3 separate regions of the Mus musculus genome follow, and all the other regions are reported to be linked to region 1. The links are microRNA targets in miRTarBase. Many come from high-throughput screens and were not tested one by one. Region 1 holds a microRNA gene; each other region holds the end of a gene's coding sequence.

Region 1 (4,644 bases):
CATGCATGCTTGTGTGCATAGCTCACGGAAACAGGAGATGAACACGGCTAGCCCAAAGAGCCAGGCATGCATGCCTGTGTGCATAGCTCATGAGAGCAGGAGGTGAAGGCTAGCCCAGACTATGTAGCAAGACCCCATCTCAAAAGCCCTGAAACTTACCTCAGGTAGAATTTGGTGGGTAGGATGGATGGGTGGATGAAGGAGAAGGGAAACCGGAAAATATGTGATACTTTTTGCCCTGTGCTGGCTAAGAACTGCTCAGTGGGCTGTCTCCAGGGGGTAGGGTTTCCTGTCTGCTGACACTGTGCACTTCTGCCTTCTAGCCGATCAACAATGCTGACTTCATAGTGCCTGTAGAGATTGAGGGGACCACGCACCAGGTGAGCTGTTTGCCAGCATACACCCTGCCTCAAAGGGAAACTGCCTCTCAACCTGTTTATCATCAGCTTCCATGTTTGTTGATGGCTTGTCTCCAGATCATCCACACTTCCCTCTAGCCAACACTCCTGTCTCTATGTAGTCAGGCTGTTTGCAAGAACTGTTGGCTTTTTTAAAAATATTTTTAAAGAATTATTTGTTTTATGTATATGAGTACACTTAACTGTATTCAGACACACCAGAAGAGGGCATTGGATTCCATTAGAGATGGTTGTGAGCCACCATGTGGTTGCTGGGATTTGAACTCAGGACCTCAGAAGAGCAGTCAATGCTCTTAACCACTGAGCCATCTCTCCAGCCCAGGATAGGGTCTCTTTATTTAATTCTAGCTGACTTGGACCTCACAGAGGGCTGGAGTTAATTAAAGGCCTTCACCATTGTGTGCAGCCCCTGGCATTTTCACATCATAGTCCTAGCCATCACTGTGGCTTTTTAAATGTGCATTACTGGTTTTGCCTGCGTGTGTGTCTGTGTGAGGGTGTCGAATCCCCTGGAACCAGAGTTACAGTTGTGAGCTGCCAGGGGTTGCTGGGAATTGAACCCAGCTCCTCAATGAAGAGCATATGCTGTCCAGCCCATGCAGTCCATGCTTAGACCAGGCGAGCCTTGCTCTGTGTGCAGGGCTGTTAGGATTTGCTCCTGTGCCCTCTGGTGAAGAGCTACTGAATGTGTCTTCCCTGGCCCAGGCCCCTCCTATGACACCTTTCTGACCTCTACACTGGTTTCTGTAAGTGCTCCATATGCATCTGTCAGAGTGGCAGAGTCCAGGCTCTGCCGTGTACACCCTGCTGCCTAGGGTTAAGGACCACGAGGCATTGGTGAGAGACCATGTGCCCAGAGGCATGCTGGTCGGCCCAGGGGAGGGCCGGAGACAGTGATGCAGACATCCTAGCAAGCATGAGACCTGTTTTCAGACTGAGAAAGTTCAGCTTGAGACTGTCCTGGGTTTGTCATCGTAGCCCTCTGCCCCTTTACGAACTTCTGTACAGAGCCTCGAAGCTGTGGCTCTTTACTCCACCCATCACCCCCTGCTGTCTAGTTGAGGAAATAGAAATGTACAGAATGTATGGGGCTCTGGCATGGGCAGAAGGGGCCTGAGTGAGAGGGCTGCCTGCCATGTGGATCTGAGGAGAGCCTGGGAGGAGAGCAATGCTTGGTGAGGAAGGGGCTTGTTTGTGAGGCTTAAGAAGTGGAAGGTGATGGATAGATCCATTTGCAGCTGCATGGAGGGTTCTGCTGCTAAATGGGAGGGCTCTGCTCAGTTGGTGCTGATGTGGGCTAGGAGGGACTGGGGTGGGCACACCCCCTGTGCTGCTTTAAGGAAGTGAGTGAGTGGGCCTAAGGAACACTTGTGCAGGCTGAAGTAAGAAAGAAAGAAGAAGCAGCAGATCATAGACTGGGTGGCGAGTTAGTTGAAGAACCTTTAAAAGCGAGCAAGTCCTCGAAGCTGGTGGTGTGCACACAAACCTACGAGGGTGTGTGTTTGAAGAAGTTTGTGGTTCTTGCCAGATGGGACCTACACAAGCCGTCCTGCTGGAATCCCGTACAGAAGGCTACTGTGGAGGCTGCGGCTGGATTCAAGTAATCCAGGATAGGCTGTGTCCGTCCATGAGGCCTGTTCTTGATTACTTGTTTCTGGAGGCAGCGCATGGTCTGCCCTCAATGAAGATGGCTCCTGGGAGTGCATTCCTTCCTGCCGGGTTAGGGTTGGGCCTGTTGAGGCAGCAGAAGCCTGGTAACATGGTAGAGCTGTCCATGGTGGGGCAGAGGTCTCAGTGTCTCGACCTGGGTATCTAGGCCTGCTTGCTTTTCTGTCAGTGCACAGGCAGAGCCGGTGCTGTGTCCTTGGCCTTGTGGGGTTCCTACAGCAATCCACTCTGTCTCCCAGGTATATGTGCTCAAGAGGCCTTACGTCGATGAGTTCCTGAGACGGATGGGGGAGCTCTTCGAATGTGTTCTCTTCACTGCCAGCTTGGCCAAGGTACCTGACTGCAGGAGGGGCAGAAGGCAGGGGAGAGCCAGCCCTCAGCCTAGGCTAAAGCTTCTCCTTCTTTTCCAGTATGCTGACCCTGTGACTGATCTCCTGGACCGGTGCGGGGTGTTCCGGGCCCGCCTGTTCCGAGAGGCTTGTGTGTTCCACCAGGGCTGCTATGTCAAGGACCTCAGCCGCCTGGGAAGGGACCTGAGGAAAACTGTCATCCTGGACAACTCCCCTGCATCTTACATCTTCCACCCAGAAAATGCAGTGAGTGCTCGCATCAGGGACTGGGGTGGCTGCAGGCTGGGCCCGTGGGCTTTATCAGAGGAGTCCACAACCCCTGTGTGGCCCAGCAGCCTCCAATGGCACTGGAAAGGAAAGGAAATATCAGATAATGTCACTTTTTCCTGCCCCAGGTGCCTGTGCAGTCCTGGTTTGATGACATGGCAGATACAGAGTTGCTGAACCTGATTCCAGTCTTCGAGGAGCTAAGTGGAACTGATGATGTCTACACCAGCCTTGGGCAGCTGCGGGCCCCTTAGCCTTCCTGCTCCAAGAAACGGCCATCCCAACAGGGGACTCTGCTACACTGTGCCTTTGTGGTCAGCCTCACTGACGGGGTCTGCAAGTAGCCAGGGCGTGTGGGACAAAAGCAGGTCACACGCAGAGCAGGAAATCAGACCAAGACCCAGAGCTCTCTGCACCCCGTGCTCAGTTCCCAGGTGGTTGTGTGGGTGTGTGTGCGTGCATGTGCCCGTCCGGTAAACTATGGTCCTGGGTGCCCAGTTGTGCAGTAGGGGGAGAAGCTGAAAGATAAGGACTCAACCCAAGTCATTTGTCTTCTTTCCTGCTATGCTGTGAGCTACTGAGCTTTACAGCCATGAAAACTATTGTAGGCTCCCTCGCCAAACCATGGCTTTCCCTCAGCATCAAGACCTGTGCCAAGGAGAAGGGAGAGGCCGGAGGCTGCTTTGGATGCCCAGACACACATCTTTCAGAAAACACAGAAACCTAGCCAGCAGCTGCAGACATGTTTGGGAATATGAGAGCATGTTCGCAGACCCACCAGGTTCTGTGTCCTATGGGCTACACCTGGCTCCAGCAAGAATGCCTGCCATGGGCACTTCTCTGTACCCGGGCTCCAGTGCCAGGCCAGCCTCTCACTCCCAAGCCATAGTCCTACTCCCATGGGAAAGGAGGTCTTCTCTCTGCCCTGGAGGAGGACATATAGCTGATTTCTGTTCTTTTAACTCTTAAAAATCTCTTTCTAAACTTGGAGTGGTTTATATTCGCCCGAGCTCCAGTCCTGGGCCTGAGGTTTGTGTGGGAAGCGCTGGGGTACAAAGAAAATGCAAATGTTCAATGCAAGATGTCTGTCTCCTTGCGTGTAGATCCCAAAAGTGCTCTTCAGGGGTTCTGTGCTAGCTGATGCAAGGACATTAGCTCCAAAGGCTGGGGAGGGCTTGGCTCTCCCTCTGTGTCTTCCTGGTGTCCCGCCCTGGCCAGCTCTCGTCTGCTCTCGCCTTTATCCTTCTCGGCTGCTGCTCTTCCTCTCCAGAGCCTTGGGAGAAGGACTTTCCCCGGTTGTACTTAATTGATTGGTTGTCCCAAGTGTTGCTCTTACTTGATTTGCCAAATGCCTCCTGCTTCTCGTTATAGGACTGAGTGAGGTCCTCATAGCTCTGTGCTCTGGGCAGCTCTGAGCTCTCAGCCCTGTTGCTTTCAATGTCAGTCACAGAGTGGAAGTTTCCCCAAAGTGGAAAGCTACCATTGGGAACACAAGGGGCCCCTGAGGGGCCTCCACCTCACTGCCTTAAGTGAGTCCCGCCCACTCCCTGCCTCCCTCCGAGGTGGGCGGGAGTTCCTACCCCATCTCTGCTTCCCCTGGAGGCCGGCCAGCGTTTGTGGGTTGGTTCAGGTGTGGTACCTCCCACTCAGGAGTCAATATTTTCAAATTTTTCTAGTTTCCACACACGAGGTCCTGCCTGGGGTTTGAGAAAGCCTGGTGGAGGAGTGTGGTGGTGTGAGTGGAGACTGGCTGGCATTCCTCCAGCACTCTGCAGACTTCTTCCTGGGCCCGAGGCTATGGAGCCTTGGCTTTCACTTCTGTGACAAACACATGCCATTTCCCCAGCCTCATTTGCTGGTGTCTGTAGGGTCCTCCCAAGGTGAGCTGAGGGCTGCAGGTGCTAGCCAGGAACATGGGAGCTTGACTGTGGCTTCAGGTC
Region 2 (3,000 bases), not on the chromosome of region 1:
TGAAGTTTCAAAACCATGAGTTTTATAATACAGTGGGGCCATTCAGGAGAGCTTAGAAGTAGGTAGAGGCTTCAAAGAGCTGGTGTGACCTGGGTCTCCTAACCCACTGGTGTCTGTCTGAAACAGTGATCCATGGACATAAAGGACAAGCCAGCAGTGTCAATACCGACTGGTGCTATCCCTTTGATTTAGGAGCTCATAGGATTTTGGGCTTTGTTGCGTCTGACTTTTCTCCCTTTGCCCCCAGCAACACCTTACGAGTCACCCGGTCCGCGGCTCCCAGCACACTGGACAGTTCCAGCACCGCACCTGCTCAGTTGGGGAAGAAAGGCAAAGAATTTGAATTTTCCCAGTTGCCACTCAAAGTGGAGTTCCTGGAGTGTAGTGCCAAGGGTGGACGAGGGGACACTGGCTCTGCTGACATCCAGGACTTGGAGAAGTGGCTGGCCAAGATTGCCTGAGGAGCATCGCTGGCCACAAGCGTTGGTCATGTGAGACTGACCCTGCAGTTTGAGAAAGGGCGGTGGTGGTGTGGACTGATAAAGAGGGGGCATGTCGTTGAAGCATTTCTTGAGTTCTTGAAACAATTGTACCACCCCCACCCCACCCCCGTCAGCTCCTTTCTCAGCTAGTCCTTTCTTAATTCCCATATTCTTTCTCCCTTTGCTAGGTGTTAGGTGTAGCATCATGTTAGTGTGAGACATAACAGAGAGGGCATCGCTTTGAGAGTAGGGTCGCATCTGAGAAGTCCTTGTCTCCTGCCTCTGTGTTGGTCCCTTTTCCTGGGACCAGATCTGCCTGCTTGTGGAATAAGTGAACTTGCAGTTGCCCCTGGTGTAGGCATAATACAGTGTCAGTTCTTAGTGGAGTCTGGGGTGTGAAGGTCTACAGTGAAGACAGCTTCAAAGCCACAGGCACAGCTGACAGTGTGTCCTTCACGGGCTCAGTGACCATCCCACACCACCCTAGCTGACAGTGTGTCCTTCACGGGCTCGGTGACCATCCCACACCACCCTAGCTGACAGTGTGTCCTTCACGGGCTCGGTGACCATCCCACACCACCCTAGCTGACAGTGTGTCCTTCACAGGCTCGGTGACCATCCCACACCACCCTAGCTGACAGTGTGTCCTTCATGGGCTCGGTGACCATCCCACACCACCCTAGCTGACAGTGTGTCCTTCACGGGCTCGGTGACCATCCCCACACCACCCTAGGTTCAAAAGCTGCCGCAACCCCGAAGAGTCACCCTCACAAGGTGGCTCTAGGAGCCAAATCCCCAGACACTCCTAGGTTAGTGTTCTAGAGGCTCCACTGGGGAGAGCAGGGAGACAGCACACTGCTGCCTCGGGCGTGCGTGAGCCCAGGCTGTCCCCTGTGCTACTTGATCAGCTCCTGTTGTGTCACCCCAGCTAGAGTGCTATGGAACAATACAAACTGAAGATGTCCACTGTGCATTTTAAATACATATTTATTCATGATGCTTTAAAAAATGTTACCTTTTTAAAGTGATGCTGTCTTCAACATTTGTGTTCTCATTGCTTTTATAAATGACTGGTATCTTGATAAATGACTATACTGAAAGCATTGAGTCAAATGATGAGTACAAGTGGGAACCTGAGCTAGAATTGAACCCCAGCTCCAGGTTACTGAGCCTACAGATCGCTGCATATATGAGACTCTTGGTCTCGTCTCACACTCAGAGTCAGGCTTCACTAAAGCCACACTAAAGAGACAGGCAGAGCATTGACTCAGGTGCAGTGCTCAGGGAATATGTGTGGCGCTCTGGGCTGGCCTGGACCAGTGAGAGGGACAGGATAAACACACAGGTGTTCTCTGTGCAGACCAGCCCAAGCCTCTGCCTGCTGACACATGGCCTCCCTGTGGGTCACCTGGGCTGATAATAGAGTCCCAGACCATGATTCCCATCAAGTACTCAGCTCCCCACTCCTAAAATATCTACTGGCCTTGCTTATGGTGTATGAGACAGATACAGCACAGCACAGGACAGATAAGCCATGAGATGACTCAGTTCTCACTGGGAGGCAGTATTGCTGCTAGGATTCTTACTGCCCTTTGCACACTGCTGTTCATGTTGGTCACGGACAAATGGGAAGGGCACGATGAAGGACGTTCACATCACAGTAGGTGCTCATCAAAAAAACCTTTCAGTTAGAAAATGTGTTCGCTGGCCTCCCTTTTGTCTGCATAATAAAGTGATTTTACTTAGTGGGAGAATCAGTACATCAAAAAAGTGACAAGGATGGAGAGCAAGGATAAATGTTATTTATTTATTTATAGCCTGTGTCCTGAGCAAAAGGTAAGCTGTGCAGGGCTGGGAACCAGGTTAGTAGAATGCCTACCTGGAACGCATGGGTCTGGCTTTGCTGTGGGCTGCTGTAAAAGCCAGCTCTAAACAGGCAGCCGCAGCAAAGATTCTATGTCTGGACTCTTCCATGGAGCCACGGCAGAAGCAGCTTCTCACTGCTAGGTGCCTTGTGGTCTCTCGGGAGGCCTTGGCCCCTGCCACTGCTTCCCAGGGCCTCCAGCACCTCCTGACGTGAGCTGTTCTATCAGAGGGGAGGGGAGGCAGTGGCCCAGCCATTGAGCTATTTCAGGCACAATAAAATATAAGGCTATGTGTGTGTCTTTTATTTGGGAACCCAGAATGTTGGTGTAGGTATCAAGCGCGCTCGTAGATTTGAGTAAAATTGACAACCGGTGTCACCCAATGTGGGACTTACACTCACTTTTAAAAGTTAGAGATTCCCAAGAATACACATGCCTCCCTTTAAGATTATGAGGCAAGGAGAATGTTTCTGAGCTGAGCTGAGTCATGTGGTTCCTCCCCAAGGTTCAAAACTAAGGTTTTGCTTCATGCTAGTTTGGCACACATGATTCTGGGGCTTGTGGCTCAAGGCTAGGACACACCCAGGCTGACCCAGGGTCATGGGCAGTGGGCTAAAGATTCAGCCAGAAACTCCTGTTCTGGGCTGCTACAA
Region 3 (3,000 bases), not on the chromosome of region 1:
TTGCGAGAGATCTTAGAATTACTGTGCTGTTGCTTGATAGCAGGAGTACCCTCATTGCCCCAGCCATCGTGACAACTAACACCCCCATCCTGCTTCCACCCCACATATAGTTTTTAATGTCCCTTGTAACGCTATAGGATCCGTATCATCATGGCATGGAAATCGTATTCTGAACTCGACATCAGAAGGCACAGGTTTTTTGTTTGTTTCTTGATGTACGACCATACCCACAAAGCCAAGGAAGCCTTGTACCCAGATTCCTGAAATTAGAACCCACCAACAGTGCCCCCCACACACACACACACTAAAGTTTAATTTCTTTACCAGGCTGTGGTTACTGGTTCCCGCCTCCGTCTCAGTCCAACGTCTCTGAGATACCTCCAGTGGACCCACCAACCAAGACTCTCTGGCTTTTTGATATCAATCAGGACCCTGAAGAAAGACACGACGTGTCCCGAGAGCACCCCCACATCGTCCAGAACCTTCTTTCCCGCCTGCAGTACTACCATGAACATTCTGTGCCTTCTCACTTCCCACCCTTGGACCCCCGCTGCGATCCCAAGAGCACTGGTGTGTGGAGCCCCTGGATGTAGGGCTCTGGGGAGTAAGGGGGGCTGGAGCCCATTTCTGGGCAGGCTAGACCTCAGGCCCCTACTCCCCTGGCTTCTCTTCTTTATCATCCCCCACCCTGTCACCTGGCCCTCATGCTACATAACCCACCAAAGGAGTCCAATTTCAACCCACAGTACATTCTAAAAGCCAGTAAAATCTGGAAGGATCTTGCTGTTGGCTGGAGTTAGTGTCTGGGGCCAGGGTGGCCGGGTTCATCCTGCTTCCTAAACTACAGACGCTGGGAACTTGACATAGGAAGTTATCCCTGAGTCCTGGAGGCCAGGACAGCTGGCTCTTTTTGCTTCACAAGTCAGCTGTTAGAACTCCCTCTGCTAATAACCAGCTTTATTGGCAAGACACATTTCTTGTAACAAAGGCAGGGAGCAGATGTTGCTAGTGGTTCTGTTGGCTGTGAGTGCTCCCTGTCTGTGAGCTCTTACTCGGGCTTTCCGCACCCATGACCCTAACCCTAACCCTAACCCTAACCCTAACCCTAACCCTAACCCTAACCCTAGCCCTAGCCCTAGCCCTAGCCCTAGCCCTAACCCATCCGCTCACTCATCTTCCTGTGGAGCGCACAGCCCATTGCAGTAAGCCAGCATGGAGACATGCCTGTGCCGTGGTTTTGGTTTCCATGATAACTAAATGTGTTTTTATCTCCACCCCCACCCCCACCCACTATTGCTCATTCTGTCTAGACTTCTGCTACCCAGCTTGTGTGGCTCTGTTCCTGTCATGCCTTTGGACTTCACTGTCCTGTGCCTGAGGTCTCTCTCCCCTCTGCTTCACCCATTCTGAGCTTTAGGATAGTCCTAAGCCCTGCCCAGAGGAGGTGGACTGGTCATTCTGTGTCCATGCTAATGGGAGTTGTGGGTCTGTGGCATCTGCTAAGGAGGATTATTCACAGTTGCATGGAATCTGTCAAGATTGTGGCTATATCTCCCACTATGCCATGGTCTATGCTGTTTTCTCAAGCAGTGGCAAGAAAGGCCAGGATAGCACTTCTTCGCCCTGAGCAGTCTCAGAAAGGAAGTGGCCATGGAATGTTGGCCTCAGTAAGGCAGAGGAGACACCATCCATGTCCCTTTCATTCTCTGTTTCACTGCCCTGTTCTGGGGCTCTGGATTCTGGGCTTGGAGAATGAGGATACACTATTTGACTGTCAGCCCTTTCTCAGACCCTCATACATCTTACCGATGTGAGTCCACCAGATTCGCAGCAGGGTGTGTCAAACCCAGTGGTACTTCTCATTAACACCTCTGTCTCATTCACAGTTTATCACCAACATCAGCAACCATGTCTGCGACATAATAGATAGCCAGTACTTTTTAAAAATGAATTAATAAACAAAGTAAACGAGAAAGAGTTACCTGGCATTTACTAGTCCAGTGAGCTGACTGTAAGGGCAGAATAAATATCCTCCAGCCCTTCCGATTCTGTCCTCAAGCTGTCCCCTCCCACCTCTGCGCTAGCGGGAGAATGATCTGGGCAGTCAATGAATGGCAGGTCTGTGATGGCCTCTGCAGGTAGACAAAAGAGAATTCTGCTTCCCGGGAAGTCTCCTTTGCCAGCAATCTCCATTTCCATTCTTCACTGCACACTAGGAATTAAAACCACCAAATAATATGATATGCACAGTCATCTTCAGTTCAGTAGCAGCATCTCCTGGTCATTAATATTCTGTATTTTATTATGGTAAGAGTATTATAAGAAAATGGTACTATGGCTAATGACATCTTTTACCAACCTTTACCCAACTTGGCTGACATATAGCCTGCCATTAGGACACTTTTTACTCCAAAGACTGTGACAGAGTCTGAGTGACATGAGTCTGAATACTCCTCCTGTGTCCTCCTGTAGCTATAGGTGGACTGACGGTCCCTACTTCATAACACCTACCTGATCGTTCCTTAGTGTTCTCAGAACAGCTGTCCTCAGTTCCAGCTGTGACTGTAGGCAGTGTTTGGAATATTAGCATAACTAATGGATTTAAGAAGACTTTCAGAAAGTGATTCTTAAAAATAACTGGAGGTTTTGTCTGATAAAACAAATAGAATGGAATATGTCTCAGATTATATCTCATTGGATTTTCATGTTTGATACAAAAGTAAAAGCTTGATAACCTATTTTTAGAGATATTAATGTTAGTTCTTTCCAATTTTGTTTAACCTTGAAGATTTTATTTAACTTGTGAACTTACTCCTTTGTTATGCCATGATTGTTCCAGATTTGAGGAACAAAATAAAATAAAATCTTTCTAAAACTATGTCAGCCTTGGACATGGGGTCTCTCCTTGTGATGGTTGAAAGTTCAGGAGCTTGGAGCAGTGGTAGTTGAATGTCACAAATGTCCCCAAGGTGCTGGTATGCTTTAAGGCAAGGAAAAAGA

Evidence for each region. The annotated mature microRNA mmu-miR-26a-5p reads UUCAAGUAAUCCAGGAUAGGCU and lies in region 1 at 2,015-2,036, shown strand. An mRNA with a match to its seed (bases 2 to 7 or 8) in the 3' UTR can be bound and repressed. Matches are read on the target gene's strand: a 7mer-m8 pairs with bases 2 to 8, a 7mer-A1 pairs with bases 2 to 7 and ends in A, and an 8mer does both.
Region 2: miRTarBase lists Srprb as a target of mmu-miR-26a-5p. Seed matches in the 3' UTR shown: 7mer-m8 at 1,380-1,386.
Region 3: the mRNA of Arsb is a reported target of mmu-miR-26a-5p. The part of its 3' UTR that is shown has no 7-base or 8-base seed match.

Annotation. Positions count from the first base shown.
Region 1 is chr10:126,993,529-126,998,172 of GRCm38, forward strand. It overlaps Mir26a-2 (microRNA 26a-2), which reads left to right and starts at 2,002; the gene lies at 2,002-2,085. It overlaps Ctdsp2 (CTD (carboxy-terminal domain, RNA polymerase II, polypeptide A) small phosphatase 2), which reads left to right. Exons shown (of 8, transcript NM_001113470.1): 5 at 324-380; 6 at 2,327-2,419; 7 at 2,498-2,683; 8 at 2,833-4,644. The coding sequence ends at 2,958.
Region 2 is chr9:103,187,669-103,190,668 of GRCm38, reverse strand. It overlaps Srprb (signal recognition particle receptor, B subunit), which reads left to right. Exons shown (of 7, transcript NM_009275.4): 7 at 248-2,636. The coding sequence ends at 461. Among named protein-coding and RNA genes, the nearest start is that of Srprb, 13 kb to the left of the region's middle.
Region 3 is chr13:93,940,139-93,943,138 of GRCm38, forward strand. It overlaps Arsb (arylsulfatase B), which reads left to right. Exons shown (of 8, transcript NM_009712.3): 8 at 328-2,878. The coding sequence ends at 593. Among named protein-coding and RNA genes, the nearest start is that of Lhfpl2, 120 kb to the right of the region's middle.